Regions from separate parts of the Mus musculus genome. Here regions 1, 3, 4 and 5 are each reported to be linked to region 2. The links are microRNA targets in miRTarBase. Many come from high-throughput screens and were not tested one by one. Region 2 holds a microRNA gene; each other region holds the end of a gene's coding sequence.
Evidence for each region. Region 2 holds the annotated microRNA mmu-miR-3098-3p (UUCUGCUGCCUGCCUUUAGGA, at 3,575-3,595, shown strand). A microRNA usually pairs through its seed, bases 2 to 8, with sites in the 3' UTR of a target mRNA and lowers its output. Matches are read on the target gene's strand: a 7mer-m8 pairs with bases 2 to 8, a 7mer-A1 pairs with bases 2 to 7 and ends in A, and an 8mer does both.

Region 1 (6,146 bases), not on the chromosome of region 2:
TGTATGTATTGTATGTATGTATGTCAGGATGTAGCAATGGCCACCTCTCTCACTCCATCTAGCTCCTTGTTATGACCCACTATGTACAAAGCACGAGGAGTATGCAATTATTTAAATAAAAGACAGACCTCTTCACTCACCCAATTTCCAAAATCCCAGGCTCTAGCCCTAGGGCTTGACTCTAAACTCAGTTTCCTTTTGTTGTTCTTTCTAGACTTTTGTTGTTGTTTTGTAGCTGAGGTGGCCTCCCCCTTCTCCCATGTGCTGAGATCTCAGGTATACAGCAGCATGCCCAGCTTCTTAGTTTCCCTTCCCACCTTCATCTGTTGACCCCGCCGCACCGTCCTACAGTCCCACCCTGCCCCTTCCAGTCCTGCAACTTGGATGGACTGTGCCTTTCCTAGGACCCTTTGCTCTTGAATTCCTAAGAAGCGCCTGACATATGGGGCTCAGGTCATGTCCTTCTCCTAAAGCACCTATCCGACCTCCCCATGCTCAACTAAGGACATTCTCTGTTGCCAGTTCCTTATTTTTCAAACTCTGAGTCACCCCAAGCTGCGATTGTCAGGGCACGTTTTTAATGCTTGCTTCTCTATACCCAGCATCCAGCATGGGACTAGGCATTCAGCAGGTGATCAGTCAATGCTGACAGAATGAGTGAGGGATTTGAACTGCAGTGTTACCAGACAAGCTTCGTGCCAGGGAAGGTGTGTCCCTCAAAGCTGAGATATGTAGGAAGCACTGGGTTGCTGAGGGCCTGGGTAAGATCTGTGGGAGATTTGGGGTGACATTTGATCTGTCAGGGAGGTAAGGGGGGGTAATCCTCAGCCCCACTTGGGAGAGGAATGCAGCTCCTGGGGTCACAATGACCTGGGAAGTAGTGAGGTCAGGACCCACCCTGGAAAATCCAGTAGATAGCCTATCTGCAAACTCTCCAGGCCTGTTGGGGTTCTCCTACCAAGAAGGCCTGACAGAGGGAGGTCCCAGCCCCAGGTCCATCCAAAAGCTCCTCCTGGCAATGGGTCCCCTTGCAGACATGCTGGAACTCAAAGAAGGAAGATAGGATCAGTGTGATGAGGGACAAAGAATGGAGATGTCTGGTACTCTTTTGTTGTTATACTTGAAACAGGGTCTCTCAGTAGTCCTGGCTGTCCTGGAGCTCACTACGTAGACCAGGCTAGCCTCGAACTCACAGAGATACACCTGCCTCTGCCTCCAGAGATTAAAAGACATGCACCATCATGCCCAGCTTTCTTTTTTTTTTTTTTTTTTTTTCCTTGAAATAAGTAGGGGAAGCAAAGATTTCACACCACAAACTTCTGAACTGTATGCTTTTCCTATGGCTACCACCTACATACCCTGTCTCCTGGCTTTCACTCTTTCCTGCTCATCCGGAAGAACACAAATACCAGTCAGTAGGCCCTTGAGGTCACGGCACAGGTCCCCATTCCTACACATGGACTTCCAACAACATATACACACGTGACCTTACCACTGCAGCAATCCCCTCTCCATGTCCTGCATGCCTGCCTCTGATAACAAAGAACTCACCGCACTCAAAGGCCCCTGTTCCACCAGAGAGCAGCTCTGGACTTTTGTTTTTCTTTGTTTAATAAACTTTATTATTAAGAAAAACCTCTTGCAAATAAATAAAAACATCACACACCAAAATCAACAAAGTCGTTTTGTTTGTTTGTTTGTTTTCTTAGACAAGTCTCACGTAGCCTGGGTGGTTGGCCTTCAAAATGCTCCTGCCTCCTCCACCTTTCAAGTGCTGGGGTTACAGGTGTGTGTCACCATGCCTAGAGATTCAAATGTGCCTTCCTAGTATTCAGCTTTGATTCTGGCCTGCTTGGCACTCCATAGATTATCCTTCCCTCTCCACCTTGCAGAACTATCATCCCCCTGGTCACCTGGCCCAGGTTGCCCTCTCACCTTAGGTGAAACACCCCCCCTCCCCCCCCCAAAAAAAGCTCAGAAAAGACAGAGCTGTTCCCAGTGACTTCTCCAATGTGACTCACCAGCTACAGACAAGAGTCATAGAGAGTGACGAAAAACCAGCAGAGAAGCCAGCTGCTACAGGTGGGCCAGCATTGTATCCCGTCAGCCATGGCGAGACTCTGAAACACCATCTACCATTTAGCCCATGGTAGGCATCTCTGGGAATGAAGATGGATCAAGGGCTGTGCTGCCAGGTTCTCTTTTATTAGCCAATTAAGACAACGAACAGGTCACAAAGTCACAGGAAGTAAGGCCAAAAGACTGACAGATATACAGGACAGAGATTCATGCTGTGCTACGCAGGGGACAGGACGAGGGAAAGTGAGAGGTTTGAGTTTTGCTTCATCAACTAACAGAATAAATAAATACAATACACGGTGTTTTGTTTTTTGCCAAGGCTTTGTACAACCTCTAAGCACAAGTGGTCACAAAACAGCTGGTTTGAAAAGCAGTCTATACAGCCAGTCAGCCTCTGCATAGAAATGGGGACCCAGGCCCCTGAACCATGCTCTAGGGAAATGAGGAAGCAGGGCAAAGGAGACCTCAAACAGAGCAGAGACATACAGGACTCTTCCTAGAAGGGCTTGTAAGGGTTTAATCCTTGGGCTCTCTGCCCTAAGTGACCAGCAGGCCTGAGAGAGATTCCATCAGCAGTGTCAGGAAGGTGGGCTCACCCACAATTTCTTCAAAGAATCGTGCCCTCTAATCCTCCTAAGAAGACATGGTCATGAAGATAAAACCCACGTGTGTCTTCCCTCCCTTCTCTGGCCTTGGGGATTTGGGTCAGCACATGAGAGAACACATGACAAAGATCTAAGAGAGTTTAGAAAAGCCTGGGATAGACCAGGCTCATGTCATGACCAGATATGACCTCAGGTGGCCTTGCTCTTTAGGAGGTTGGGAAGGCTTCTGGAAATGGTAATACCCAGAAGTGTTAGATCCCAAGTCCCAGTGACAATCAGTCATTTGCACCCAGGAATAGAAAGACAGTTTCAGCCCTGCGCCTGGTTCCAGATGAGACAATACAGAAACATAATTTCTTGAAGCTGACCACAATAGGGTAACCATGGATCGATCACTGATCCCTCCCTAACCCAGAACCCCCTCATCTCCCTAAGGATTTGCTAACCTCTCATCTCCCCGTCCAAGTCTCTCCTCCTCTGATGTTCGCAGATTCTAGAACCCAGGAAGATACCCCTTCTTAAGAAACCCTCAACTGACTTTGGTGCTGCTGCGTGAAAGTGGGAATGTGAGACTGCGTCCTAGGCTCTCTGCCTCACCTCTCACGAGGCCAGTCACCTTGTGTTCCGTGGCTCACTTCTCCTGTTTCTTTCTTTCATGCTTTCCTGTCTCACTTTTTACTGGCTAAAACCTTCTCCTACCCCAGTCCAGACTGACATTACTAAGGTGAGCACTATTGGCTCTGTAGGCCAGTCGTGCCAGGCCACCACTGTGTGGGCGTGGGGTTGAGGGTTCTGTGGCGAGCCAAAGGGTTGCGGAATCATAACCACGAATCTATTCAAGTAATCTTGCCCACCCCTCACCATGGGCAGGGGAATGGAGTAGCCCCCCCCCCCAAGGCTCACACTGGAATCCAAGAAAAATAGGATCAAATCCAGATTGTCTAACCTAAAAAGGAGCCATTTACATTTACTGGGAAACAGAGGCAGTATCCACAGAGATCTTCAGGTATGCAGGACTCACTGTTCCTCAGCAAAACAACAGTAATGTTCTAACTTACAAACTGGGCTTCTCTAAGTGCTTATGCTGCAGTTATTATTATTAAACTTAATTAAAGCCTCTGCCATACAAGGTTGTGGCATAGAACACTGGGTGGTTGGAAATGGACAGAATCTTCTAAATCATCTTATCCAGACAAGACAGTCCTAGCAAGCTTGAAAGGGCGTCCACAGAGCAGGGTTGCCTAGACATAGAAGAACACACCCTGCCATGCCAGTGACTAACGAGACAGAAGCGCCTACTCCCACACCGGCCTCTGCAACAGGAAGCCAAGTCCTGAGACCGTATGTAGCCATAAGGGTTCACTCACTGAGAAGGGATTCTAGAACCCTGCAATGAGGTCTCTGTTCTACTGCGGCTGCCCCTCTGCAATCTGGGAGCGGGTACTTCCAAGCAAAGAAAGAGAAGAAAAGGTGACTGTGAGCCCCTCCTAATATCTGGAGATGCTGTGGGGTTAGAGCTACCTCCTGCCTGTTGCTCCTGGGTCTCCAAGTAGGACTTTGATGAATCTTGGGGCATGGAATGGAAGAGTTGCCTAGAGAGAGTTCAGGTTAAGGGAGGAGATAGCCAAGCGGAGCAGAAGAGAAACAGGAAGAAACAAAATGACTAAAACCAAAACAAAAAACAACAACAAAAACAAAAACAAAAAAAAAACCTACAACCCCCAAAAGAAACACTGTTTGAGAATACTGGACAATAATAAAGCCAGCACCAAAGGCCAAGGGTAGGTAGAGGGACAGGGATCAAGACAGAGGCAGTGGGGCTGCAGGGGAGGGGGGATCAGGAGAAAAAGGAGGATGAGAGAGAGAGAGAGAGAGAGAGAGAGAGAGAGAGAGAGAGAGAATCTGCTGGAGTGAATCTCAGGGGCAAGGGTAGTGGCGATGTGAGAACAGGGAAAGGGGGCCTGGGGCAGGCAGTGCCTGAAAATATAGTTTTATATATTTATATTTATATCTCACATTCCACACTTCAACTTACTAACGGGGGGGGGGGGAGCAGGAGGGAGGAGGCAATACTGAAGAGGGGGTGTAGCCAGTTGCTCCCCTCCTCCCCATTTGACCTCCATGGGGTCCAAGCAGGGCCATGCAGAGGGTGTGTGGGTTTCACTTGGGATTGGGACTTTGAATAAGGGAGACAAGGTGAAAGGACTCCAGGCCCCAGCATCCCTGGGCTCTCAAAGTTAGTTCTAGGAGAACTTGGAGAGCCTTCTGAGAATAACCATGGGACCGAGACAGGGGTACACCCAAGACCATGGTTGGGTTAGAAGCCAGACAGTCAATTGGGGAGTGTATCGAGTCCCAGGGATGCGGCGTGCTGCTTGGCCCGGAGGCGAAGGTTTTCAATGCTCGTGGTTTTACTGTTCAGGGCAGCGGAGGCAGGTGCCAGGCCTGTGGGGGGCGCCGGCAGCAATGGGGACCCCCACACACCCTGGTGGGCAGCAGCAGCTGCTGACAGGGATTGGTAATAGGACTGGCAGTGTAGGGAGCTCAATGGGGCCATGTTGACCCCTAGGTAGGGCACGGCAGCCGCCGCAGCTGCAGCCGCCGCAGGTGCGGGACCGCCCACTTCAAAAGACGAGTAGTGCATCAGGTTGTTGGTGGCCGCCATATGCTGGCGGAACTGCTCCTGCAGACGGAAGAGGCTGAGTGGGGATGAGGAGTAGGAGTGGGAAGGACCAAGGAGGCCGCCCCCTGGGGCTGCGGGCGTTATGGCCAGGCTGCCTGGGGAATCTGCAAGCAGAGGACACAAAACAAGTACTCAGAACAAGAGAACTAGGCTCGGAGGAGAGGCTCGCTCCAATCCCCTGAATCAAGCAGTGAACATAGTCTGGCTAGAACCATCACCACCCCATGTCAGCCAGGGCATCCTCTGAAGTGACCCTCAGAATTGGGTTGGGAGGGACTTAGAGAAGCTGCAGGGTTTCTCCTACCTGGGCACCCATGCCCCAGTTCCCTGAGGAATGCCTTAATCTTGTCCAGGAGTAAGCAGGACTCTAATCTTCTCTCCCCAGCCCTCAGCTCAAAGGCCTTCTGTCCTCCTTGCCTAGCTTAGGGTTTGTGTCTGGATATACAGCTCGCCAGCGCTCTGTTTCTTCTCACCCTGGCTAGGGGGAGGGGCTCCAGCCCAGAGCAGCTCTGGGGAGCAGAGATGGATGTGCCTAGTCCTCGAAAGAACCATCCTGGGCCAAGAGTGGTGGCGCACACCTTTAATCCCAGCCTTCTGGACACAGAGGCAGTTGGACTCTGTGAGTTCAAAGCCAGCCTGGTCTACAGAGGAAGTTCTAGGTCAGCTAGAATTACATAATGAGACCCTCTTTAAAAAAACAAAACAAAAACAAACAAAAAACCATCCTGCTAGGGAGTGGTGGCACGGGCCTCCAATCCCAGCATTTGGAAGACAGGGGC
Region 2 (6,146 bases):
CTGTGTCTTGGCTTTGGAATTCACACCCGCTCCCCATTTTTCCGGCTGGTTTGCTGCCCCTACTGAGGCGGACAGGCTAGAGTAATGGCAGGGAGTGTCCCTTGGGCGGCAAGTAGGAGACTGTGGGGCTGGGTGCCCTCGGCATGCCGAAGCTTCTCTCTGGGTAAGTGGCTTAAGTGTAGTAGGACGGCCGGCTAACGGCTTGTCACTGGGCAGTGCTGATTCATGCTTCTGTCCTTCCCTAGGCGTCCCACGGTTGGCCTTCGTAAGGCTCACTCTTCCACCTCCCAAAGTGGTTGATCGCTGGAACGAGAAGAGGGCTCTGTTTGGCGTCTACGACAACATTGGAATCCTGGGTAGGACGCGATTCCTGGTTTCTGAAGGATTAGTATGCTCTCTTGACTCTTTCGGTTTTATTTGTGGAGAGAATAGTAATGTGCCCGGGGCAAGCCTGGGGGCACAAACCTGTTACACGGGAGATGAAGCCAGGCAAGACCAGTCTGAGATGCGGAGAATAGTGAGGAGTGCGGGACTCAGTCTCACTAACACAGTAGTGGGCAGGTCTGAGGGCCAAAGCGAGTAAATGGGAGTGTCAGTATTTGAACCCAGACATTTCTGGCTGCAAAGTCTTTACTCCTTTCTTTCTTTCTTCTTTTTTAAATAAGATTTTTGTGTTTTCTGAATGTGTACCGTGTACTGCTCAAGCAATGCCTGCAGGTTCAGGGTGACTTCCTAGAACTTCCCTTTCAGGCAGTCGTGAACCTTCAGTTGAGAGTGCTGGGGAATCCTTTGGAAGAGCAAGTGTTACAAAGACTCTGTCCCTTGTACTAGACTGGTGTGTGCCTTGTCTGTCAGTAGTTCTGATCAGGGAGATGAAACTGTGTTGAAGGCCTAGTTGGGCTAGGCTGACTTCTCTTCTCTTGAAACTAGTATATATTCTGTCACGTTACAGGGAATTTCGAGAAGCACCCAAAAGAACTGATCAAGGGCCCAGTATGGCTTCGAGGCTGGAGAGGAAATGAATTGCAGCGTTGTGTCCGAAAGAAGAAATTTGTGGGAAACAGGATGTTCATTGAGGACCTGCATAACCTTAACAAACGGATCAGCTATCTCTACAAACACTTTAACCGACATGGGAAGTACAGATAGGACGGGAAATGTGTCACCCTGGAGAAGGGGAACAGGACTTATCCCAGCAAGGAGAGAGCTTTGTGTGCTCGATGTAATAAAAAAATGGGGCTCCTTTGGAATCTGATATGCCCAGTGCTACATTTACTCATGCACTCTGACGTCTGCCTCGTTCCTAAGTCACATGATCTTTTGTTACTATTACTTACAGCCCAGTTATGCTTGTGGCCTTTATAACAATCATTTATTGCTGGCACTTTCTGACACTGGCACCTCGTGTAAGTTTTTAAAGAATTTATTTTTATTTATTTTATCTTATTTTTTTGTAATCTTGGAGCTGAAACCCAGGGACTTGCTCATTCTAGGGAACTCTGCCACTAGCCGCCCAGGCCCTTGGAAGTGTAGCTGCTATTTCTAAAGACTCTGCCACCCCAAAATGAACTAGGAAAGTGAAATTACACTTTGTACTGCTCTTATCAGTTATAAGTTAGGGAACTTGTCTGAGTACCACAGCATTTCCCATCCTCTTGAATAGGGCAGTTTTGTGGAGGCTGACCTTGAGTCATGCCCAGTTTTATGAAGTGTTAAAGATCACACCCAGTATTACCCCTGTGTGTGCTACCCTGTTTGCTTTTTTTTTTTTTTTAGGGGAAAAAAATGTCATTTAAGAAAGATATTTTAGGGCTGGTGAGATGGCACTGACTGCTCTTCTGAAGGTCCTGAGTTCAAATCCCAGCAGCCACATGGTGGCTCACAACCACCCATAATGAGATCTGACGCCCTCTTCTGGTGCATCTGAAGTCAGTCACAGTGTACTTATTTTTAATAATAAAAAAGTCTTTGATCATTGGACCAGAGCAAGTGGAGTTGACCAGAGAGAGCAAGGTCAACTGAGGCAGCAGAGGTCCTAAATTCAATTCCCAACAACCACATGAAGCCTCACAACCATCTGTACAGCTACAGTGTACTCACATACATTAAATAAATCTTTTTTTAAAAAGAAAGATATTTTAATACAGGTTTGAGCATCAGGGCTATGAGAGAGGTGTTCAGAGGTAAAACACTTGAGAGCATGAGTGTGGGCTTCCCTGAGAGACTCTTCTATATGGCATAGTGCTGGCGTCTTGGATATACCAAGTACTTTATAGTGAGCTATAGACCCTCTGCTGCACTTTGCTTTTGTTAGTATATATTACAAAAATAATAGGTTTTGCTATGACATTCTTCATTTACTTCTTTTGGTTTTTTGAGATAGGGTTTTCTCTATGTAGCCTTGGCTATCCTGGAACTCAGTATGTAGACCAGGCTAGCCTTGAACTCATGGAGATAATACCTTAGTGTTGGATCTAAGGCTTAAGCCACCACATTTTCCACAGGTTTTTGAATTTATGTTTCAATTGAAATCAATTCAGTGAGAAGTCTGGAGATGACAGAAAGGTAATCCAGGGAATTTTTCTTGCATTTTTTTTTTTTTTTTAAACAGTCTTGGGGCTGGAGAGATGATTCCAGCCATCTCCCAGGGATGCTCTTGCAGGTTGCCCAGGTTAATTCCCAGCTCACACATGGTGACTCAAGGCTGACTATACTTCCAGTTTCTGGGCTTCCCATGGAGACAGGCATGCACATGTGCACAGGCATAGCTGCATGTATTATTGCATGTAAAACATGAAATAATAATAATAAGCCGGGCGGTGGTGGTGCACACCTTTAATCCCAGCACTCAGGAGGCAGAAGCAGGTGGATTTCTGAGTTCGGCTATACAGAGAAATCCTGTCTCGAAAAAACAAAACAAACATAAAAACAAAAACAAACAAACAAACACCAAAAACCTATAGTCTCTCAAAGTCAGGCTCAGGCTGGCCTGGAACTCTTATAGCTCAAACTGGGACCCATCCTCCTGCCTCTACCTCCAGAGTGACAAGATTATATGTGTGAGTCCTTGTATCCAGCTTCAAACTACTGTTTAATCCTCATATTTAGTGGCCATGTCCAAGGCTATATAATACCTACTTCTTTTTATAAAAAAGTATTGCCGGGCGGTGGTGACGCACGCCTTTAAAACCAGCACTTGGGAGACAGAGGCAGGAGGATTTCTGAGTTTGAGGCCAGCCTGGTCTACAGAGTGAGTTCCAGGACAGCCAGAGCTACACAGAGAAACCCTGTCTTGAAAAAAACAAAACAAAACAAAAAAGTATTACAGAGACACACAGGCAAACAAAGCAGAGCTTGGGGATTCTCTTGGAAGAGTGGGGGGAGGGACTGTAGGAGCCAGAGGGGTCAAGGACATCACAAGAAAACCCACAGAATCAACTAACCTGAGCCCTTAGGAGCTCACAGAAACTGAACTGCCCACCAGGGAGCTTGCATGGGACTGAGCTAGGCCCTCCACACATTGTGGTTGGGAGGAGTCCTAACAGCAGGAGTAGGAGCTCTGATTATCCCCTGCTTCTGCTGCCTGCCTTTAGGACCCTTTCCCCACAACCGGCTGCCTTGCCCAGCCCTAATAGAAGAGGTGCCTTGTCTTACTGTACTTGATATGCCATGGCTGGTTGATAGCCACTGAGGCCTGACCTGGGGAGAACAGGGGAGTGGGGATCTGGGTGTGGGGAGGAAAAGTGGCAGGGAGAGACTATGGAGGGAGGGAAGCTGTGGTTGAGAGGGAAGCTGTGGTTGGGATGTAGAATAAAATTTAAAAATGTTAAAAGTATTGCAAATCCAAGAAAATGAATTGCTTGTAGACTCAAGTGAGCTCTGAAGGTAGAAAAATTAGGGTGGTTATCCTATTTGATTTAAATCTAAGTTCTGTGTCAATGATCTTTTATGACGTAACAGTCCATTCTTAAACTCAATGACTAAAACAACTTCAAATCATTTTCTCTGGGTTTTCTTCTTCAGATGGTTAATCTAGTTTGCTGTCACGAGGCCATATTCAGCAGTGGGCTAACACGCCTGAGACATCTTCACTCACATCTACTTAGTCAATTGGTAGTTTGGGTTGTTTTTGTTTTTTTGAGAACCAAATCAGGGCCACTGCAAGAACAGCAAGTGCTTGTAACCTCTGAGCCATCTCTCCACAGCCCCAGCTAAGTTCTTTTGGCACAAGGTCTTATTATTCAGCCTCTCTTGGGCTTGGTTGCTTAGAGACTTGATCCCAAAGGACAAAATTTAAATAACAAGGGTTGATAAAACGAGGCTAAGAAGTCTTGAGGTCTTCAGGCATGGAGGCAAAAACCTTTGAACCCAGGACTGATCCCTGGAGACAGAGGCAGGCCTGGTCTACATATCAAGTTCCAGGCTTGGCTACACAGTGAAATCCCATCTTTAAAAAAAAAAAAAAGAAAAGAAAAAACAAAAAAGCCATGAAGCGCGGTGGTCACCCCTTTAATCCCAGCACTTGGGTAGCAGAGGCAGGTGTTTCTCTATAAGCTCAAGGTCAGCTTAGTCTACAGAACAAGTTTCAGCACAGCCAAGGCTACACACACACACACACACACACACACACACACACACACACACACACACACAAACCCTGTCTTGAGAAACCAAAGAGGAGGGGGAAAGGTAGAAAAGGAAGAGGAAAATGTTTTAATACAATCTCACAAGTGTTAGTGAAGAAGGAACTAACAAGTCAGCCCCAGAAGCCCGTATAAAATTCTTCCTGCTGTCAGTTACAAAAAGTCTTATTTTTCAAGCACAGAGCTGGATTGTTTTTGTAATGAAAAAGAATGCAACATTTCCCTTCAACAAACACTGAATCATTGTGTGGAAGGACCTTGGAGGCATATACACCACAAACCAAGGCTACACCACTGCCTGTAAAAAGATTTCATCCGTCAGGTACAGGGTGCGTATGTAAACAAGATGCATATCTGAATTCGGTAATTGCGTGGGAAAAATATTGTTGCAGCATGAGTTTTTGTTTTTAGGTTTATCCATTTACTGTGTACACAGTGTTCTGCCTACACGTAGGCCTGCACACCAGAAGAGAGCACCAGATCTCATTATAGATGATTATGAGTCACCATGTGGCTCCTGGTAATTGAATTTAGGATCTCTGGTAGAGCAGCTCTTAACCACTGAGCCAGCTTTCCAGTCCCACATGAGGTTTTTGTTTTTGTTTTGTTTGTTTGTTTTTAAAAGGGGGTGAGAAAATTGTGTGTGCACATGCATGCACGTGTGTGTGTGTGTGTGTGTGTGTGTGTGTGTGTGTGTGTGTGTGTGTGTGTGTGTGACTGTGGATTGAAGTGCTTGAAGTAGGTCTTGGAAAGGGTCAGTGCTAGGAATTCAATGGGAAATGACTATATAGACACAGGCAGGAAGGAGTCCCTAACCAACCCCAGGGGAGCAGGTAGAGGGCAGGGAAGGCTTCCTGTAGGTGATCAGATCACCACTAATTTATCCTAAAGGAATGTTAAAAGTGGGGAGGGGGTGCAGAGGGAGGTAACAATTTTTTTTTTTTCAGGCAAATGATGCAGAGCAAAATGGCACAGATGTGAGAAATAGCATGGAGCCAGCACACAGCAAGGCTACAAGTAGTATTTGTTAGTGGAACTACTTTGTGTGCCTAAAGATAAGCTGAGAAGTTAAGAGTCAGAGCACGAGGAAACCTACATTTAGTAAAATGATCTAGCCACTTTGGGAAATCCACAGCTGCCCAAAAAGCTAAACACAGAGTTACGTATGGATCGGTAATGTCACTCAGAGGTGTCACCCAAGAGAATGGAAGCGTGTCTGTTCCACAAGAGCAGAAAGGGCCATGCTAGTGCAGGCCATTATGGTGGCCACAAGAGGAACCCAACCAAACCAATGCCTACCTGCTAGCAGAGCCCCGTGGGCCAGGTGCCTAGGAGGTAGAGCAGGAGGATCAGGAGTTCCAGGCCTTCTTCAGATACATAGTGAGTCTGAAGGACGCCTGAGTTTGGTCCCTGGAACTAATTAATCCCTCATGGAAGAAGGAGAGAACCAACTCTTGCAAACTGATCTCATTTCCATATGTGCATGCCTGCCCCCCAAATAAA
Region 3 (6,146 bases), not on the chromosome of region 2:
TTTTCTGTTTGAATACGTCTGTCTATCTCCTATCTATCTATCTATCTATCTATCTATCTATCTATCTATCTATCTATCTATCTATCTATCTTATGTGCATACACATAGGGTAGTACATATGGAGGTCAGAGGACAATCTGTGGGTATCAGATTTCTGTCTTTGGAACACACGGATTCACAGGACTGAAATTAAGTCATCAGGTTCGGTTGCAAGCACCTTTACCCACAGAGGCATCCCTGACTCTTTGGGGTTTTTAAATAAAGGATTCTCTCTGTAACTGTGGCTGGCCTGAAACCACTATATGGACCAGGTTGTATATGGACCACTTCCCTGCTCCTTCAGGCCCCAATCCCAAAGCTGTCCAAAATCCAGTGGCTTGGACATGGTGGGCGGGTCTCTCTAGCACCCTAAGGAGTCCCAGGAGCCTCCTCACTGGTCGGCACCCTCCCCAGAGGACTTCCCAGGCTGGAGCTGGAGCAAAACTGGATTGGTCTTCCTTTGGGTTAGGTAACCTCACTGGGCACCAAGGCAAAGCCTTACAGGGTCGCCAGCAAACTCTGACCCCGTTTGAAAAGATAAAGCCTACAAAGTAAGCAGGCTGCAAGAACTTCTCTCTAGAACCACGTTCTTGGGTGGGGGGTGGGGGGTGGGGAGATGTCTTGAGTGCAAAGGCGACTCGCCCAAGTTGGAGTCCAACCCATCCCGGGTCCCCCGCCTTCATTTCAGGGTTCAGGCTCCCACCCCGGGGTGCGCTTAAGTCAGGTCACCAGAAGGGGGTGCGAACGCGTGTCAGGAATGTGTGCACCCACCCGGAGGCTGACAGGTGCGGAGGCTGTCCCGAAACAGGGCAAGTCGGCTTGAACCCTGCCTCCCACCACCCAGGCCACACAACAGCCCGGGGATCTTTTCGCATTACGGCCGAATTCTCCCGGAGCTCAATTCACAGTGCGCACCGAGCTGGCTTTCCAGGCTATCTCCGAGCTGGAGCCTCCCGCAGCCCGGGAAGCGAAACAGCGGACCCCGGGCCAGCATTCCCGAAGCCCCGCATCCCTGCCTGTCCCCGCCCTGCCGGCGTCTCGAGGGTTAAAAGTTACCTCTCGGCTTTTTCTCCTGCACACACTCCCCACCCCCCGGGCCGGATGATGTAACCCCCTCCCCGCGCCCTCCCCGCCCCCTCCACCATGTGACACTTTAATTAATAATAGCGCCGTCAGCACAACAAACGCGCGGTGAAGGGCGAAACTTGGGGTCCAGGGAGGCTCCTCCGCACGCCATGTGCCCGTGTCCCCGGCATCGCGGCCGCGGGCCCCCGGCCGTGTGCGGTTGCGGCGACGCTCGCCCCGGGCTGCGCTGGGCGGCGGCGCAGGTGACCGCGCTGCGGCTGCAGGCGCTGGGCGACGAGCTGCACCGACGCGCCATGCGGCGTCGCGCGCGGCCCCGGGACCCGCTGCCCGCGCTGCTGCCCGCGCTCCGCGCCCGCTGGCCCTGGCTGTGCGCGGCCGCGCAGGTGGCGGCGCTGGCGGCCTGGCTGCTCGGCAGGCGGAGCGCGTAGGCGGCGCGCGCGGGGCCTTCTTGGTGGGGGGGACCGGAGCCGAGACCCAGCCCGGACCGAGCAACAGGTACGCGGGCAAGCGGGCGGGAGAGCGACAGCGACAGCGGGAGCCAGGGCTCCTCGGCGAGGAACAGCGGACCCGGTCTCCTACTCTTCGCTTGCCCTCTGTCCCTCTTTATCCAGACCCCGAGTATCTGCTCCGCCTCATCCCCCCTACTCTCTCTCTCTCTCTCTCTCTCTCTCTCTCTCTCTCTCCCTCTCCCTCCCTCTCTTCCCTCATTCTCTCTCCTCCTCCCTCTGTTCCTCTCTCCTTTCTCTCTTCTCTTCCTCCCTTCTCCTTCCCCCTCTCTCTTCTCTCCCTCTCTCTCTTCCTCCCTCCTTCCTCTCTCTCCCTCTCTCCTTCCCTCCTTCATCTCTCTCCTCTCTTCTTTCCCTCCACTCTCCATCTCCACTCTCTCCCCCTCTCTCCTTCCTCTCCCTTTCCTTTCCCTCTCTCTCTCCTCTTTTTCCTTCCCTCCTCCCCTTCTCCTTCCTCTCCCTTTCCTTTCCCTCTCTCTCTCCTCTTTTTCCTTACCTCCTCCCCCTCTCCTCCCGCTCCCCTGTCTCTGTTCTGTCTTCACTCTCCCCCCCCTCCCCACTCCTCTCTCTTCTCCCTCACTCTCATCTCTCTTCAGTGTTTTCACTCTCTTCTTTCTCCAATCCCCTGGCTCACGTTATTCTTCCCCTTGTGTAGCTCTCCTCTGCCTTTCCACTTTCTCCTGTTTTCCCTTTCTCCAGTCTGCTTTCTCTCTCCTCTCCCACTACCCCGTGTCCCCCCTTCCTTCTCCACCTCTCTCTCTCTCCCCCCCTTCTCTCTCTCCTCACTGTCCCCTCTCTCCTTTCTCCCTCTTCTCTCTCCTCCTCCTTCCTCTGCAGCATAGTGGTTTTAGAAGGACGTAAGCCACCACAATCGCTGCCAGCCCCAGTAAACACACGCAGTAGAACTGCACCAGTCCGAGCTAAGAGTCTCCCCTAATTATGCACCACAGGTTCTCGAGTCCCCGGCCCTTTTCAAACCGCCTGGTATTCCAACTTGACCAGGTCTCCATATCTCCACTGCCAACTCCCGTCTCCTCAAGGGTCTGCAGTTTGTGGTGATCCCCATTCTCTATGACCCCCCAACTCCTCCCACCCCCGCTCCCGTGGAAGTTTCTCAGGGGTAGGTCGTGGTCCTCTCTCCAAGGCAGGCGCACATCAAGGTCCCATCTCCTGGGTAACTTTGTTGCTCCTTTTACCACGAGGTGTCGCGGTTTACAGCTTGGCCTCCTATCACCTTCCCCAGCGACGGCGAGAGGTGTGGGCGCCTGCTGTGTGCTCCGGACCGTCCCTGGGTGCTGGGTGCCTAATGTTTGATATCGGGAGGCTATAGGTGGGTCCTTGGTAGGGTGACCTGTGAGCACCCGCTGTGTGCCAGGTACCGGGCTAGGCGGTTTGGGGGAGCAAGAAGTGTCGGTCGGGGTCGCCTTTCTAGATTTCTAGTGCAGAGGCTTCATAAAACGGGGTGGGGTGGGTGGGAACTAGGCTGACTTCCGAGAATGGGTCGGAATGTGAAGATCACAGGTAAGGTAGCCAGAGACCCTGAGATGCTCTGGGCTGATCCCAGCCCTGCCCGACGGGCGCGCAGACACCTTAGGAAGCTGGCGCGGCGCCGCAGGGAGAGGCGGCAGCCGGAGCGTGGGGGGTGGCAGCGCCCGAGGAGCTGCGGGGGTGAGCGGGGTGTGAGCCGGGAGCGCGGGCGACAGATGTCGCGTGGGCCCGCGCAGCCCGGGCGCTGGCGAAGAGAACTGTCGCTTCGGGGCGCCCTGCGGCCCGGCTCCCTGGCTCTGAAGGTCCCTTGCGCGCCTCCTCTCTGTTCTCCCTTTCAAAAGTACCGCTGCTGCGGAATCCCGGGGGGTGGGGCTAATATTTTGAAGGGTGCCACAGCTTTGACTCCCAAAATGTAGACTTTGGGAGGAGAAAGAGGGAGGAAGAGAAGGGAAATTCATACTGGTTATGAATTGGAGAGTGGGGGCGTGGGGGAGAAATGGAGGGTGCAGAAGTGAATGGGGAGGGAAGGAAATCTCTAATAGAAGCGAGGGGTGGGCAGGGATGTTAACTCGGGAGTCTAGGAGCACAGGCGGGATGGCAGAAGTGCTGTTAGTGTCGTTCCACTCAAGACTCCGGGCGAGGGCGAGAGCCTGTATCGGTGTGCATGCATGTCGGGAGTTGGGGTGCTCAGGGAACCCGAAAAAGAGGCTGCGGTCCACGCAGGCCCGGCGCTCCACTCTGAGCTCTGACAAGAAGTTGGGAAACTGGAGCCCCGTGGTACGGTATGGATGTGGTGTGCAAGGGAAACAAGAGATAACTTTCGCTTTAGAATTAACTTTCTATTCTAGCTCCGTTTCCGTCCCAGAGATAGCTCCGTGCTGCGTCCTGACTCCCGCCCCCAACTCCTTCCTGGCTTCTGCTTACAACGTCTCCCCTCCTAGCTGCCACACCCACCAGGGTTCTCACTTCTCTGTGCTCCTGACCCCTGGAAGTGCCGGCGCTTTCCTCTAGATGGTCCCTTGCACCCCTGAAGCCCTTGTCGGGGGTACTCCCTTCATCTGGTAACAAGATGACCACACCCTCATTTTCCAGTCTGCCCTAGTTGGCTAGAGCCAGGAAAGCCGGCCGAGAGGGTAATCGGTTGAGTTCTGTGTACTAGATGTGGGATGCTCTCCCCAGCATTGCGGGGGTGGGGGGTGGGGGAGGGGGGTGGGGGGTGGGGATGGGGATGAGAATGCTCTGGTCTACCTTGGTCTCTGGGAGGGTGTTGGGTTGGGGGATATCTTTTAAGAGCTTAGCTTTAACCAGGGTCAGTGGGCCCAGCAAATTTGTTCTTTGCCCCAGCTGTGAGCCAGTAACATTTGGTCCACAAAGTTACTAATAAAAGAGACAAAAAAGAAATAAAGCCCCAAAGGCTCAGTTCTTCCATACTCAACACGGGGACAATAATATTAGCAATGAGCTTACAGCACAGGTGACTTTAGGAGGGTTGAAGGAACAATTCTTACTGCTTCTGAGGTGGCTGTAAGGGCTGGGGCTCCTGTGTGGCTCCGTGATGGATTATGGCACCAAATTAAATAATAATAATAATAATAATAACAATAACAACAATAATAAATAAAGCAGTTGCAGATGTGAGCTACCATGACCATTACTGACCATTTAACAGCTGGAATCTTTTTCCACCCTTGGCCATAGTCTACCATGGTCATTGCGATGAAGTGCACTATTCTTTTGAAAACCTATTTATTTTATTTATTAACTTATTCATTGTGTGTGGGTACGCAAATGCCAAGAGGTCTGGGGACAGCTTGGAGGAGTGGATTGTCTCCTCAGAGGTCCTGAGAGATCAAACTTAAGGGGTGGCGATGTCTGTGCCTTCTGAGCCATCCTCCCACCCCAAGCCCTCTGGGGAAGTCAGTTTAAAACCCAGTAGAGTGCTAAGCCAGACAGGGCAGTGGGCAAAGTGCTTGCTGGGCAGACGTGAGGACCCTTGCATCTGTGACCAAGCCCTGTGGAGAGACGCGAGGCTGTAACCCCTGCTCTAGAGGGAGGGGTGGAGTGAGGGCAGGGACAGGTGGTCCTGGCACTCCCTGGTCAGCCGACTGAGTTAAAATGACCGGGGATGGGGAGGAGACAGGGGCAGGGAGGGACTCTAGAGAAAAAAACCAAACAAACCCAAAAACGGTGTTTACCCTCCACCTCTGACCTCTGTATGCACACACTCGGATTGGTTTGTCTGAATTTGCATACATATGAGGTAGGTTTAGGGACCAGAAGGGCTAGGGATGCAGCTCAGTGCTAAAGGGTTTGCTCAGCATGCAGGATACCCTGGGTTCCAGTCCTAGCACGGGGGTTGGGTACCTGTCCTTTGTGGGCAGGTAAGAGCCATTGCTGCACTCCACCTGGCTGTGAAGGAGAGCGGTCCCTTTTCCAGGGTGTGTTGGGGGGGGGGGGGGAGGGCCGCTAAGGACAGGGCTGTGTCTAGCTTTTAATTCACTCCACTTGAAATAGTTAGGGTCATTCTTATCACTTCAAAAAAAGAATGGGAAACTGAGGCCGAGAGCATCGACCTGAGTCTTTGCAAAGAACGAACTGGACTGAACAGTCAAGCTTTGACGGGATAGCCACCCCTTGCCCTGGCTTGGGGGGGGGGCTGCATGGAAGGAGGGGGACATCTGGTAAAGTAATGGGGTGGGGGGTGGGAGGGTCCACCGTACATTCTGCACCTCGAAGGCTGGGGTGGCGGGGGGAGGGGGAGGGAGAGGGGGGAGGTAACCTTAGTCACTGTCCAAAGATACCGGAGAGAAACAAAAGAGGCTGTGTTGGGGGGTGGGGAGGGAGAGAGCTGGGAGCTGCCTGCCTCGAGAGGGGGAGGGGAAGGAGAGAGGATGGGGAACCAGGGAAGGGCAGTCGACTCTTGCCTTGGGACTAGAAGAGGAGAAAGGAGCCCCAGTCTAGGTGACAAATAATAGGGAAGCCTTAAAGAATTAATGGCAGGTTCGTCGGCCAGCTAGACAGGGGACT
Region 4 (6,146 bases), not on the chromosome of region 2:
GGCCGGAAGAGGGCATCAGATCCTTAGGACCCGAGTTCCAGGCTAGGAGCCTAACCCTGTCCTCTGTAAGAGCAGATGCTGCTCTTGACCACACAGCTGTCTACATGCCGCCTTTTTTTTTTTTTTTAAGGTTTATATATTTTATGTATATGAGTACACTGTAGCTGTACAGATGGTTGTGAGCCTTCATATGGTTGTTGGGAATTGAATTTTAGGACCTCTGCTGGCTGCTTGCTCCGGCTCAAAGCTTTATTTATTATAAGTACACTGTAGCTGTCTTACTATAAGAGGGCATCAAGTCTCACTACAGGTGGTTGTGAGCCACCATGTAGTTGCTGGGATTTGAACTCAGAATTTCTGGGAGAGCAGCCAGTGTTCTTAACCACTCAGCTATCTCTCCAGCCCCTAATAGCTACAAATTTAAATACTTTAGGCAATTTTGCCTAGGGATTTCCCAATATATTATATTGCAATGGATTTTCTTTTGAGTCGGAGAAATGTTTGCGATTTAACTTAAAGTTAAGATACTTGTGTGGAGGAGATGGCTCAGTGCTTGTCTTGTGCCCTGATTCCATCCCCAGAAACCGTGGATATGGTGGCACTCATCTGTAACCACAGCATGAGAGATGACAGGCAGACCCACAGGCGAATCATCTGGAAGCTTGCTGGTCAGCTGGCTTGCAGTATGCATCATGACAGAAACAAGAGGCTACCACAAGGTGGAAGGCCGGAGACTGTTAGGTTTTGGGTGTTGCTAAATACTGGCCCTGGTTGCCTCCAGGGGCTGGGAAATTCTCACTTAAACCCAGATGATGCTCTGTAATCTTGTCCCCCAAGTTATCCCCGATTGGCGAATAAAGATGCCTGCAGCCTGTAGCTGTGTGGAAGAGAGACAGGTGGGGTTTGGGGGTCTGAGGCAGGAAGAAGAAAGAGGTGGAGAGAGGAGAGTGTAGGTGAGTCTGGAAGAAGTCAGTGCTCTTAATCCCTGAGCCATCTTTCTAGCCCCATATAGCAGTCTTTTCTAGTTTGTAGATTTTTGTTATGTTTGCAAACAAAACAGTAGTGGAAAGAGACAACATTCACTATATGAATATTCTTTATTGATAATCAGATAATGTAAATAAAATAAGCTCAGAGGTAGTCATGGTCCCTCCCAAGCAAACGTTGTAATCTTAGATAATCTGAGAATTTATTTATTTTTCTGTGTAGCCCTGGCTGTCTTGGAACTCACTGTGTAGACCAGGCAGGCTGGATTTGAACTCAGAGTCCCCTCTGCCTCTGCCTCTGGAGTACTGGGATTAAAGGCGTGGTCCAGCACTGCCACCACTCAACCTGGGCACCTTTAATAGCTTCTGCTTCTGTGCTTTTAATGGCAGGAATCACTTAGAAGCTTGTTAAACAAAAACCCGCATGAAGTCTCTCGCACAGAGCTGTGGGTTGGCTTGTGAGCTTAAGGTTTGATTAAACGGCCTGTGAGACACAGTACAGCATCTTATTAGTGATGCAAGTCTAGAACAAACTCGGTGAAGAATCTGTTGTAGGCACCAAGAACCCGATGCTCTTCACCTAATCCAGCATCATTCTCTCCCGTACCTGAGGTCACCAGGAAGGCAGAATTGAGCTCACAAACCTTCACTAGATGCCCCCTCCGAGACTGAGAATGAAACTCCTGTTGCAATAGGAAAATAAGTGTGCTATATGGCTTTGTATATTTTTCCTAGAAACAGATACGTCTCAACCCAGCTTCAGCTCATACATTGGAAAGCAGATCTGATGTTAATACCATTTTAGTACAGGCAGAGTCTGAGAAAACTGGGACTGTTTTTGCTTGTTTGAAACGGGGGTTTTTCTGCGTAGCCCTGGCGGTCCCAGAACTCTGTAGAAAAGACTGGCCTTGAACTCACAGAGATCCACCTGCCTCTGCTGCCTGGGTGCTAGGATTTTACCATCTCAATTCAAAAATGGGCACGCATGTAAACTAGGCACTTTGTGAAAGTTTCCTTGAAAAGGACGTGGTTTTTGGTAACCAGCATTTCCGTTTTCAGGTCACCTTTAGTAAGGTATATTGCTTTCAAAACAGTTACAGACCCAAGTATTCCTTCTGCTTTCTCTACCTGGCAGAGGGCAACAGAATAATTTCCTGGTTATGTTTTGTCTTGGGGGTAGTTAATGGAGATTAGACCCAAGCCTTTGCATATGCTAAGTACACTGTCACTGAGCTACACCCCTCACCCTGTTTTAGTGATTTTTACACTGGGTTTTGATATATATTTCTGATTTAAGTAATGTAACCTGAATATGGACACAGCGGACCAGGTCTGTAATAGCTACTCCAGCGTCTACGGCAGGCAGATCCAAAGCCAGTTTGGCTTACTATGAGTTCCAAGTGCAGGCTACACAGCTTAGTGAAATGCTGTGTCTGAACAAAAAGTAACAAAATAAAGACGTAGCTGTGGCTCAATGGCCCTGTGCAAAGCCCTGGCACAGTCTCTGGTAAGACACGGGCACTTGCAAGTTGTTTCAGTACCAAGTCTCCGGTTAGGCCCATGAGCAGCTCAGCGAACAGCTCATTTCCTTTCACGGAATCTTAGGAAAGGGTCAACCAGTCAGAACTCAGAACACCAGCTGATGGCGAACCAAGTTTGCTCTTACATATCTTACTGGTTTTGCTTTTCTAAGATGGCTAGTCCAGGCTAGCCTTGAGCTGTGTCGATCTTGCCTCAGCCTCCCAAGCGCTGGGATAATAGTTCACCACCACACCTGGCTTCGTCTTATATATATACTTCAAATGTAATATACCCAGATCCCTTTTTGAACTATTAATACGCGCCTTCTGGGATATAAGTTAATGCTTATTTAAATAAAATGATCAAGATACTCATGCTATTTCCAAATTTAGAAGCGGTTAAAAAGCTATGCAGACTATTGATATTAAAATATAGATTAGGTTTGGCACCAAGAAAGGGCACCAGGGTGCCCACGTATCTCTTTAGAGTCTCAAGCCTTCATCGCCTGTCAAACCCCGCATGTTCTTACTTCCTGTGGGAAATGCATGTCACTTAGAAACCTGCACCTCGGAGTTACTGTTAATGTTCCTGTTTGATATTTATCCTTTTTTTTTTCTTTTAATTTATTTACTTTTGAGACAGGGTCTGTCTGTGTAAACGAAGACATCCGCCCACCTCTGCCTTCTGAGTGTTGGGATTAAAGGTGTGCGCCAACACGCCCAGCTTTCTCTTCTTCTAATGTTAGAATAAAGTTACTTTTACAGGGGACACTTTACTTCGAACTGTAAGAATTTGTTTTCTGGTCTAGAAGGCAGATTGGCTAACAGCTAATGCCTTTCCCTCAAGCCTCACAGCTCACCCATTTGCATTTATCTTTGGATTTTGTTCTTTGACATACACGTGAAAAGTGTGTATGTGTGTGTGTGTGTACTAGTAAGCTGAATGTTGCCAAACATAAAACGCATTTACACAAAATTACTCAGATCCTTAGCGTTCTGGAAAGGTCTGTAGCGGTAGCTGAGACACTTCCCCATCCATTTATTTCCTGTTTTTTGGCTAGACTCTGAGAAATTATTTCTCAAGCAGATCCTTGTCTTAAAGAGCTCATGGCGTGCTAGAGAAGGCCAGCACAGAGCAGTTCCACACCACGATGCTGTAAAGTCACTAGTCAAAGGAACTTCTTTGAAGGATCGGCCTTGAACTTGACCACCTGGAACTCCATGGGCTTCCCCGTTGAAGACGATGCTTGGAATTCTTCCTTTTAAAAAATTTATTTATTTTACGTGTATGACTACATGGTTGCTGTCTTCAGACACACCAGAAGGCAGCCTCGGATCCCATTACAGATGGCTGTGAGCCACCATGTGGTGGCTGGGAATTGACCTCAGGACCTCTGGAAGAGCAGTCAGTGCTCTTAACCCCCCATGGAATGGAGTTTTACTGAGCAGGAAACAAGACGTGACACAATCAGAATCCAGACCTGGGACCGAGAGCACTTACTGTGTTGTGTTTAGGGAGCAGGAGAGCTTTGGGCAGCCCAGCTCCCCAGGTTCTGTGTGGAAGACGGACTTGGCGAAAATACCCATGAGCAGCAGCTGGGTCAGCGGCGGAGGGACGCTAACTGGCCTGGAGAGGCTGTATACAGCAGCTTCCAGTGACTGGATATGGGAATCGAACAGCCTTGCATGGCGTCTCAACAGTCAACCGGATGAACTGCAGTTCCTAGGCATCGTAGTCAGGTGGGTGTGTCTGGTGAGCAGCTGGAGTTGCATCTGAGGCTCAGGCAAGGGACTGGGGTTATACAGGAGGGGTCATCTTCGTAGGACTGTGGCATCAGGTGCAGGGGGCAAGGGCAAAGGCACGGGAGACAGAGGCCACTGCATCTGTACCCACATCAGACATGTTTGTCCATTTTCTCTCATTTGGCCTTAGACCATTGGCAAGAGTAAATGCTCTTAGTCCCGTTATCTAGAAATTTCTTCCTTTGGGGAGAACCACTTATAGACAATATCAGCTCTCTACAAATAACACGAAAGGTCGTAACACAGCAAGTGACCAGAAAGTGCCCGTCCTTGCGGCTCTGATCCACGTGGCTCTCCGTAGACAAATTGTTTTTCTTGTAGGGATATCTGTTTTGCTTCTGAACTTTCTTACAAGTGTTTGGGACTCCTTCGGGGTGGCGTTTGTGTGGGCAGCATGAGCTAAGCAGTGACCTCCACTTTATCCAGACTGAAGATGGATTTGGTCGTTACAGGTCGCTCTAGGCCAGGTTTGGAAACATCCGGTTTTCTTCTTAAGGAAAACAGTGGAGTCTGTCCCAATCGCAGTCCCACAGGAGGGAGGGTTGCCATAACCGGGAGTAACCAATCCCTGATTCCCGGAAGTCGAGTTTCACACCTTGCTTTATTTAAAAAATACGTACAAAAGAGTCATGAAAAACACGCCCAGACTAGGCTTTGTGGCAGCCGAGTGGCTTGGCATGAATTTGTACAGCGGAATCATCGGGCACGAAGGATTGGATACGGAGATGGAATCCGGCTGCCATCGCAGCGGGAGGTGAAAATCCTTTTTAAGAGCACTGAAGGGCTGGGATTTCCCTGGAATAGTAAGCTTCGTGAGGTAGGAGTCGTGTCCAGGGACTGTAACCTGAGAAGGAACAAGAAACAATTACTTGAGTGATTTCAGATGGGTGTGAGGTCCACGCAGAAGACAGATCTCCACCCCTTTGAGCGGTGCATGCGTGGCTTGAAAGCGGTCCACGCCTCCGGGGCTATAGCGCCCGGAAAGTTGCCAGTGTTTCTTGATGTAGGCCTTTGGTGCAAATGCTACCAAGAATTACAAAATGAAGTAAGAACAGAGAGGGGGTTCAGCATCTAGTGAAGGAAAAGACTAAATGGAGGAAGCCACGACTGATTCTGCCACGGTCATTTTCAGTGTGCCGGGGTAAAGGTGCTTTTTTTGGACCAAGCCTAGAGTATCCTTATTGGATATCAAGATTGTGAGTAGATTCTTCCTTCAACTTACTCCCATTCTCCTTGCCACTGACCTAAGGTGTATAACTCTACTTCACTCCCCACCCCTCCTTTTTAAAAAGAAAGAAAGAAACAAAACAAAACCAAACCCAAAACCTTGCACAAGAGCGGTTTTTTTGCCTGCACGTGTCTACCACTTGCATGCAGTGCTTACAGAGGCCAGAAGAGGGCAACAGATTTCCTAGAACTGGAGTCGCGGATGGTCAGTTGTGAGCCACCCGGTGGATTCCAGAACTTCAACCCAGACCTTCGGAGCCCTTCTACCACTTTCTTTTAAAACTTTTAATTGTGCCAGGCGGTGGTGGCGCATGCCTTTAAGCCCAGCACTTGGGAGGCTGAGACAGGCGGATTTCTGAGATCGAGGCCAGCCTGGCCTACAAAGTGAGTTCCAGGACAGCCAGGACTATACAGAGAAACCCTGTTTTGAAAAAACAAACAAACAAACAAAACCCCCAAAACCAAAACCAAAACCAAACAACTTTCAATTGTTTTAAAAACTAGTTTTGTTCTTGTGAATCTTCAGGTAGGTTGCGATTGCTCTTGGAGTTGCTACATAGACCAGGTTGACCTCAAACTCACTGGGTCCACCTGCCTCTGGGCAGTGCTG
Region 5 (6,146 bases), not on the chromosome of region 2:
TTGTCCTTTTAAATAGTATGTACTTTTCTGTGTGTCTCCCACATTCTATCAAGGATCAGTGGTGTGCTAACACATCTGATAAGTGTTTACTGACAACCTGAGCCTAATCTGCCATACTTTCTCCCCTCAACCACTTCCCAGTTTCATAGCCATTACCTGGACAAGATTCATGGCCCTTGTCTGGCTACCTTCCTTTATTTCTGCAGTAGTCAGAATCTTCATCATAAGGCTTTGAGGATCCTGGTGATGAACTTTTTACTAGTCTCAAGCCATGGTCTTTCCTAAGCATCATCAGCTCAGATGCTTAAAGCTTTTGTCCTTCAAAAATTATGTGTCTCTGCATGGGCCGATAAATGCATCACATATTTTTTCTAAATGACTTAAACATGGATGTATGGAGCAGCACTATTCACAATAACTCAAAAGAGAACCTACTCAGTGATAGGTTATCTCTGCCGGCAAAATGAGCCAAATTCAAGCAATATTAAAGTCTATGACAGAAAGGGGAGGTGGGAGGAGAAAGATAGATAGAAACAAGAGTGAGAGATAACGAGAACTAAAATGTCAGAATTATATAGTGAAGAGCCTCCAGGGAAGAGGGAGTCCAGGCCCTGAGCTGGGACGTTCAGGTGAGGATTGAAGGATGTGGTAGAGCCTGGAGGGTAGATCTGCTTTGGTATGTTAGTCACCTCAGCTGCTGGTCCCAGGTCTGAGCCCAACACTATCTCTACCAGCTACAGAATACATGAAGGAATTCCAACATACGCAGTGAAACTAGCATCAAGGAGACAGAGGATATCAATGACACTTGGAACAGTGTAGGCAAACTAGCATATTGTAGAATAAAGAAACAAAATGAATAAAGACAAAAAATATTATATGGGCATATGGCATACAGTTTGCAACAGGATAAATGTGTACTTAAGGTTTTAGTGAACATATTAGCTGTTAGCCAGTGCCCTTAGAAGGGAGGCATCATCAATCAGCCTTGGGTGCTGATGTTATAAGTCAGTGATGGCTACACAGCATATGCTGTTTATAAAAATAGACTGAGCTTTGTTATTTTGATTTGTGGATTATGGTTATTTTAATGTTTAAAATCACATTGAAAAAACATCAAACATTTCTGTTGTCTCTATCGTATCTGCAGTTGTCTGGCTAAGATTCTAGCCCATTTTTCTTTCCTTTAGGCACTGAGTTATGATCTGTTATAATTTTCCCCTAGGAAATGGCTGGTGATGAAATTGCTGCCCTTCCACGGGATAGCTGTCCTGTTAGAATCAGAAATCGCTGTGTTATGACATCTCGCCCACGTGGTGTTAAGCGTCGCTGGAGACTTAGTCGCATTGTCTTCCGCCACTTAGCTGACCACGGGCTACTTTCTGGAGTCCAGCGAGCGATATGGTAAAACCATTTCAGAACCTGCCCAGCTGGGCAGTCAATCCTGGCAGGAGACTTAAGATCAAACCCTAGGTCTTACAAGGGTCTAGTATGTTTAGTCTACTTAACCCTGAGTTAAATTACTTTTACATTTTAAATAATGTGGCTATTTGTCATTGAATTGTCTTTCAACTTTAAAGCATAGTACAAGAGTGGAATAAACATATTTTCTGTGAAAGTATGGTCTTTCCTTCAAGTTTGATGTTTAGTAGCAAAATAATATATATTTTTGGAGTGATTTCACAAAATATTTCTAGATGTCAGATCTAATTGACAGGTTGCTTTTCTATGTTGTATTCCTGGACTAGTTTCCCTGGTCTGCAGTTACAATCACTTTTTGGATAACAATAGACAGAGTTAAACAGGATATTCTAAATTATATTTAGGGTCAACTTTATGTGACAGTGAATAAAAGAACTGCTAAATAGTTGTTTCATCTTTTAAATTTTTTCATTACTGCGTATGGATGTTTTCATGCATGCAAACCTATGTTCCACGTGGGTGCCTGGTGCTGGAGGCCAGAGGAAGGCCCTGGGTTCCAATTACAAACAGCTGTGAGCTACCACATTTAAACCTTACCTGTTGCCTGGAGACTTCGATATTTCAGTGCTGATGGTTGCACGGGATCTGTTTTCATTAAGGATTGTAGGATTTTCTAATTCTATCTTTGCTGCATCCTTTGGGTGTTTGTTATTATTTTTTTAAAAAACTTTCCATATCAACAATTACTAAAACATGTTTCTTTGACATAAATGTGTAATTAATTTTCAGAGTAAACAAGTTGCTATACTACTAAAAATGGAAACCAATCATTGTTCATCCCTGTGAACTTTGAAATGTTTATATATTTGGTGCATTAGCCCACTCTGCCCATTCTTACCCATGATCATTGTCCTATTACCAGTGGAAGTCCCTTGACATCTCTATCCTGTAAGTAAGGTTATTCACTATGTTCTTGATTGATTACTGTTATAACAGCCAGTATAGTTCCTGATTAAGACACCTGTCTTTAGGGCTCTTTTAGTAGGAAATGTTTAGAGACCACAAGATACACTAAGGTTAACTCATAGCCATTAAGTTGTCATTGCCTTGCTAGGAATTTTCATTTTGTTTCAAGATTTTTAATTATGTGTATATGTATGTGTGGGGCAGGGGGTGAGTGCTTGGGGGGACCAGAGGTGTCAGATACTAGAGCTGGACTTAGTCTTGTGAGCCACATGGGATGGGTGTTGGGAACAGAACTGGGGTTCCCTTTGAGAGTGGTATACATCCCTTCAGCCCTAGAAATGTGTTTTTATTATAAGTAAAACATAGTGGTACCTTTATATTAATTCTATATTTATGTATCTTACATAAAAATTTTAAATCTTGGGGGCTGGAGGGATGGCTCAGCAGAGAGCAAGTACTGTTCTTCCAAAGGATCAGAGTTCAGTTCCTAGCACCCATGAGGGACAGCTCATAACCAACTGTAATTCAACTCCCTGGGAAGTCCAAAAAACCTCTGGCAGCCTCCAGCAACCACAATGGCGATTAACTCAAGATTTAAAAAAAAAACAAAAAACAAAAAAAACAACTTCTAAAAAAGCAATTGAGGGGCTGGTGAGATGGCTCAGTGGGTAAGAGCACCCGACTTGCTCTTCCGAAGGTCCAGAGTTCAAATCCCAGCAACCACATGGTGACTCACAACCATCCGAAACAAGATCTGACTCCCTCTTCTGGAGTGTCTGAAGACAGCTACAGTGTACTTACATATATTAATAAAACAAATCTTAAAAAAAAAGCAATTGAGCCGGGCAGTGGTGGCACACACCTTTAATCCCAGCACTCGGGAGGCAGAGGCAGGTGGATTTCTGAGTTTGAGGCCAGCCTGGTCTACAAAGTGAGTTACAGGACAGCCAGGGCTACACAGAGAAACCCTGTCTCGGAAAACAACAACAAAAACAAACAAAAAAAAGCAATTGAGTGTCAGCAACTTTACTTTTATCACAATATATAAAAATTGCAATATATTCATTAATTGTTGCAAAAAATTAGAATTCATCTAATAGACAAATATTCTAAAGTTCCCTGAAAATAACTTGTACTAAATTCAATATGCAAACAAAGCAACTATTGCTTAGTTGTCTTTGTAAAATGCATATTGAAATTGAATGCCCAGTTAGTTCATGGTATTAAGTGGGGTCATAGCTTCACCTTCATGAATGAGCTTAATACACTGAGAGCTCCTGGAACTTTCATTGCTTGCATCCTCTGCCAAAGCCCTTATTAACCACCAAGTAGGCCCTCCGATCTGGCTTTTCTTTTTTTCAATTTCAGTGCTTTTTCAATTGTTAAAATTCCAGTGGTTCTAAGGTCCTAATTATCTATTTCTGCCATGATGTACCACAGTCTAGTCCTGTTAATGTTTGTTCTTAACTGTGTATGTCATTCCCAGGTTTTTATGTTCTATGCATCTACTTTTCCTAACCTAAGCATGAAAATTTAATAGCTATGTTCTTAAATAAAAACCAGTGGAGTTTTCCCAATGTACAGTAGGGTTGATCTGGCTTCTCAGGACTTGCTAGAAGAGTGAGCATATTTATTTCTTTTGTATTTCCCTCCCTTTAGGTTTCGTGACCCAATGCTTTTATTAGGGTTACTTTGCTGGAATGCTGGGGAAATTACCAGTGGCTACACCATTGAAGAAAATGTCATTGCCCCCAACTCCTTTTTTTTTTTTTAATTCTATGAATGATTTATAGTTACTGGAAACCTTAGTAGGTCATTGGTTTGTGCTTATGTGTATTTTTTTGCCATGTATTTTCCTTTTACTTTTTAAATCAAGACTTCTTCCCCAGTCCTAGGTCATAATGGAATTCCATCTCTTTAAGTACTTGCATAACTTTATTTTTGACAGTGAGATCTTAGATGCTGTAAGTGTGAGCATATGGCTGTCTTATTACACTGCTATCATTAATGCTTCATCTCCCTACAAACGCCAAATCTCCTGCATGCAATAAGTTCATGTGTTTACCAGTCTGCTTACTTCACAGCTCAATACACTTCCAGCTACCCTTTCTATACATTAATTGTAAGTTCTGACTTTTACCTAATCCTTAATGGTAGTTGTTGTGATCGACTGGCTTTTTTTCTAGGCATCTAATTGCTTTCTTTTTGATGGTGAGCCTATCATTTAACAGCTAAGCCATTGCTAAGCCCTTACGGCTTTCTGAAACTTACTCGAGTACAGTGACAAAGCTTAACTTTGAATACACTCAAAACAGATTGCAGAACTCATCTTTTAAGTAAAACTCCAACTTTATTGAACAAAGGAATAAATGGGCGTTTTCAAGTTTTCGCGTCATGGTTATTTTTAAGCCATCTGAACCATGATAGTACTTATCAACACGATGTTTGTCTATTTTTGTCCTTTGTATTTTGTTTAATTTTATATTCATAAGTATACTTAAATCAATTAGCAGTATATGGTAACACATGGTAATAATGGAACAGCTCTGTAGTAACTTTGCACAAATTTGAATTTTATGCAAAAATTTTGCTTTATTGTTTACATTACTGGGATCTAATGTCAACTACAGACAAACACTTCTGTATTCTATCTCCCAGCCAGAACAAAAGTCTGTGACATAACATTTTCATTATGCAAGACTTCCTTTTTACATTTTCAGTAAGAGTGCCATATAGCCTTTTCTGAAACGAAATGTCTGGGGTGCTAATGAAGGAAACAGTTTAATAAGCTTATTTATTTAAATCAAATCCTCCAGTAAGAAATGGAGAATCTGCTATCTTTACTTAAAAGGCGGTGTAAATATTTATCTGTCAAAACTACATACCCACATGAACAAATATGTGCAGTTCAACAACATCCCCTTACTGGAACACGAGCATTCCACATCACAGTTCCCATACGGACTTTTAAAAGCCTCAAAATTCCGTGTCTTCTCTGGCTTGCTTCTCTCTGGATTCCACCCACGCTTTATTAATGGTTCGCTTCATATCATCGTCTCCGTCTTCATAAATTTTCTTTAGAACATTCATTAATCCCTCACTAGGGTCTGCCTCCGTGTCGTAGGAAGGCTTTCTGTGAAAAAGAAAACACGCTACAATGGAAAAACTGAGGCATGGAAAGACATTCTTGGGTTGTAAGTGGTAGGAAGTTGAGCAGAGAGAAGGGATGCTAGAGTATACAACCCAAATAGCATGCCCAGGCACATCCTGATAAAACTACCATGGTACACAAAGGAGGGTCTGCCAAATGGCAAGGACTAACATGGCAGTGAGATTTCCAGAGAAAATGATCAATTTGAGTAGTTAAGTTTTCCAGATTGTTGATTTTTTTTAAAAGTATTTTTCTTCACATTTAAAAATTCTACAAACCCCTGCAAGTTATGGTATGGATACATAATGAAAGGAGAACATTTTAGTTAGAAAAAAATTAAATTAGTAAACTTTAGATTCATGGATCTGGGTCTAGTGCTAAGGTCTTTAATTAATGTGGTAAGCAGATCTAGTCAAGGAATGTCTAAGCAGCCAATCGTCCTTACATTTATTTCTTGAAATAGGTCTTATTATTTAAGCTCAGGCTTAACTCAAGTCCCAAGTCATCAAATGTGCAGAACTCTGGCCTACAAATTGTATGCGGCTACCAAGAGAGGAATGACAAAAATGAGTGACTCACTCAGTGCAGGATACTCCCAACTATAGGA

Region 1: miRTarBase lists Dmbx1 as a target of mmu-miR-3098-3p. Seed matches in the 3' UTR shown: 7mer-m8 at 4,586-4,592.
Region 3: miRTarBase lists Hrk as a target of mmu-miR-3098-3p. The part of its 3' UTR that is shown has no 7-base or 8-base seed match.
Region 4: miRTarBase lists Cpm as a target of mmu-miR-3098-3p. Seed matches in the 3' UTR shown: 7mer-A1 at 2,100-2,106, 7mer-m8 at 1,920-1,926 and 7mer-A1 at 1,351-1,357.
Region 5: the mRNA of Mrps14 is a reported target of mmu-miR-3098-3p. Seed matches in the 3' UTR shown: 7mer-m8 at 2,830-2,836.

What each region holds. Positions count from the first base shown.
Region 1 is chr4:115,912,935-115,919,080 of GRCm38, forward strand. Dmbx1 (diencephalon/mesencephalon homeobox 1) reads right to left here. Exons shown (of 5, transcript NM_001025567.1): 5 at 2,185-5,471. The coding sequence ends at 5,017. Among named protein-coding and RNA genes, the nearest start is that of Dmbx1, 24 kb to the right of the region's middle.
Region 2 is chr6:125,192,271-125,198,416 of GRCm38, forward strand. It overlaps Mir3098 (microRNA 3098), which reads left to right and starts at 3,522; the gene lies at 3,522-3,608. It overlaps Mrpl51 (mitochondrial ribosomal protein L51), which reads left to right. Exons shown (of 3, transcript NM_025595.3): 1 at 1-163; 2 at 246-356; 3 at 953-2,122. The coding sequence starts at 85. The coding sequence ends at 1,149. Gm52878 (a long non-coding RNA gene) reads left to right here and starts at 4,464. Exons shown (of 2, transcript XR_003956366.1): 1 at 4,464-4,972; 2 at 5,591-6,146.
Region 3 is chr5:118,168,509-118,174,654 of GRCm38, forward strand. It overlaps Hrk (harakiri, BCL2 interacting protein (contains only BH3 domain)), which reads left to right and starts at 1,256. Exons shown (of 2, transcript NM_007545.2): 1 at 1,256-1,620. The coding sequence starts at 1,275. The coding sequence ends at 1,553.
Region 4 is chr10:117,682,285-117,688,430 of GRCm38, reverse strand. Cpm (carboxypeptidase M) reads right to left here. Exons shown (of 9, transcript NM_027468.1): 9 at 1,079-5,153. The coding sequence ends at 4,911. Among named protein-coding and RNA genes, the nearest start is that of Gm25709, 23 kb to the right of the region's middle.
Region 5 is chr1:160,198,203-160,204,348 of GRCm38, forward strand. Mrps14 (mitochondrial ribosomal protein S14) reads left to right here. Exons shown (of 3, transcript NM_025474.4): 3 at 1,226-2,984. The coding sequence ends at 1,408. It overlaps Cacybp (calcyclin binding protein), which reads right to left. Exons shown (of 6, transcript NM_009786.2): 6 at 4,165-5,521. The coding sequence ends at 5,365. Among named protein-coding and RNA genes, the nearest start is that of Mrps14, 6.1 kb to the left of the region's middle.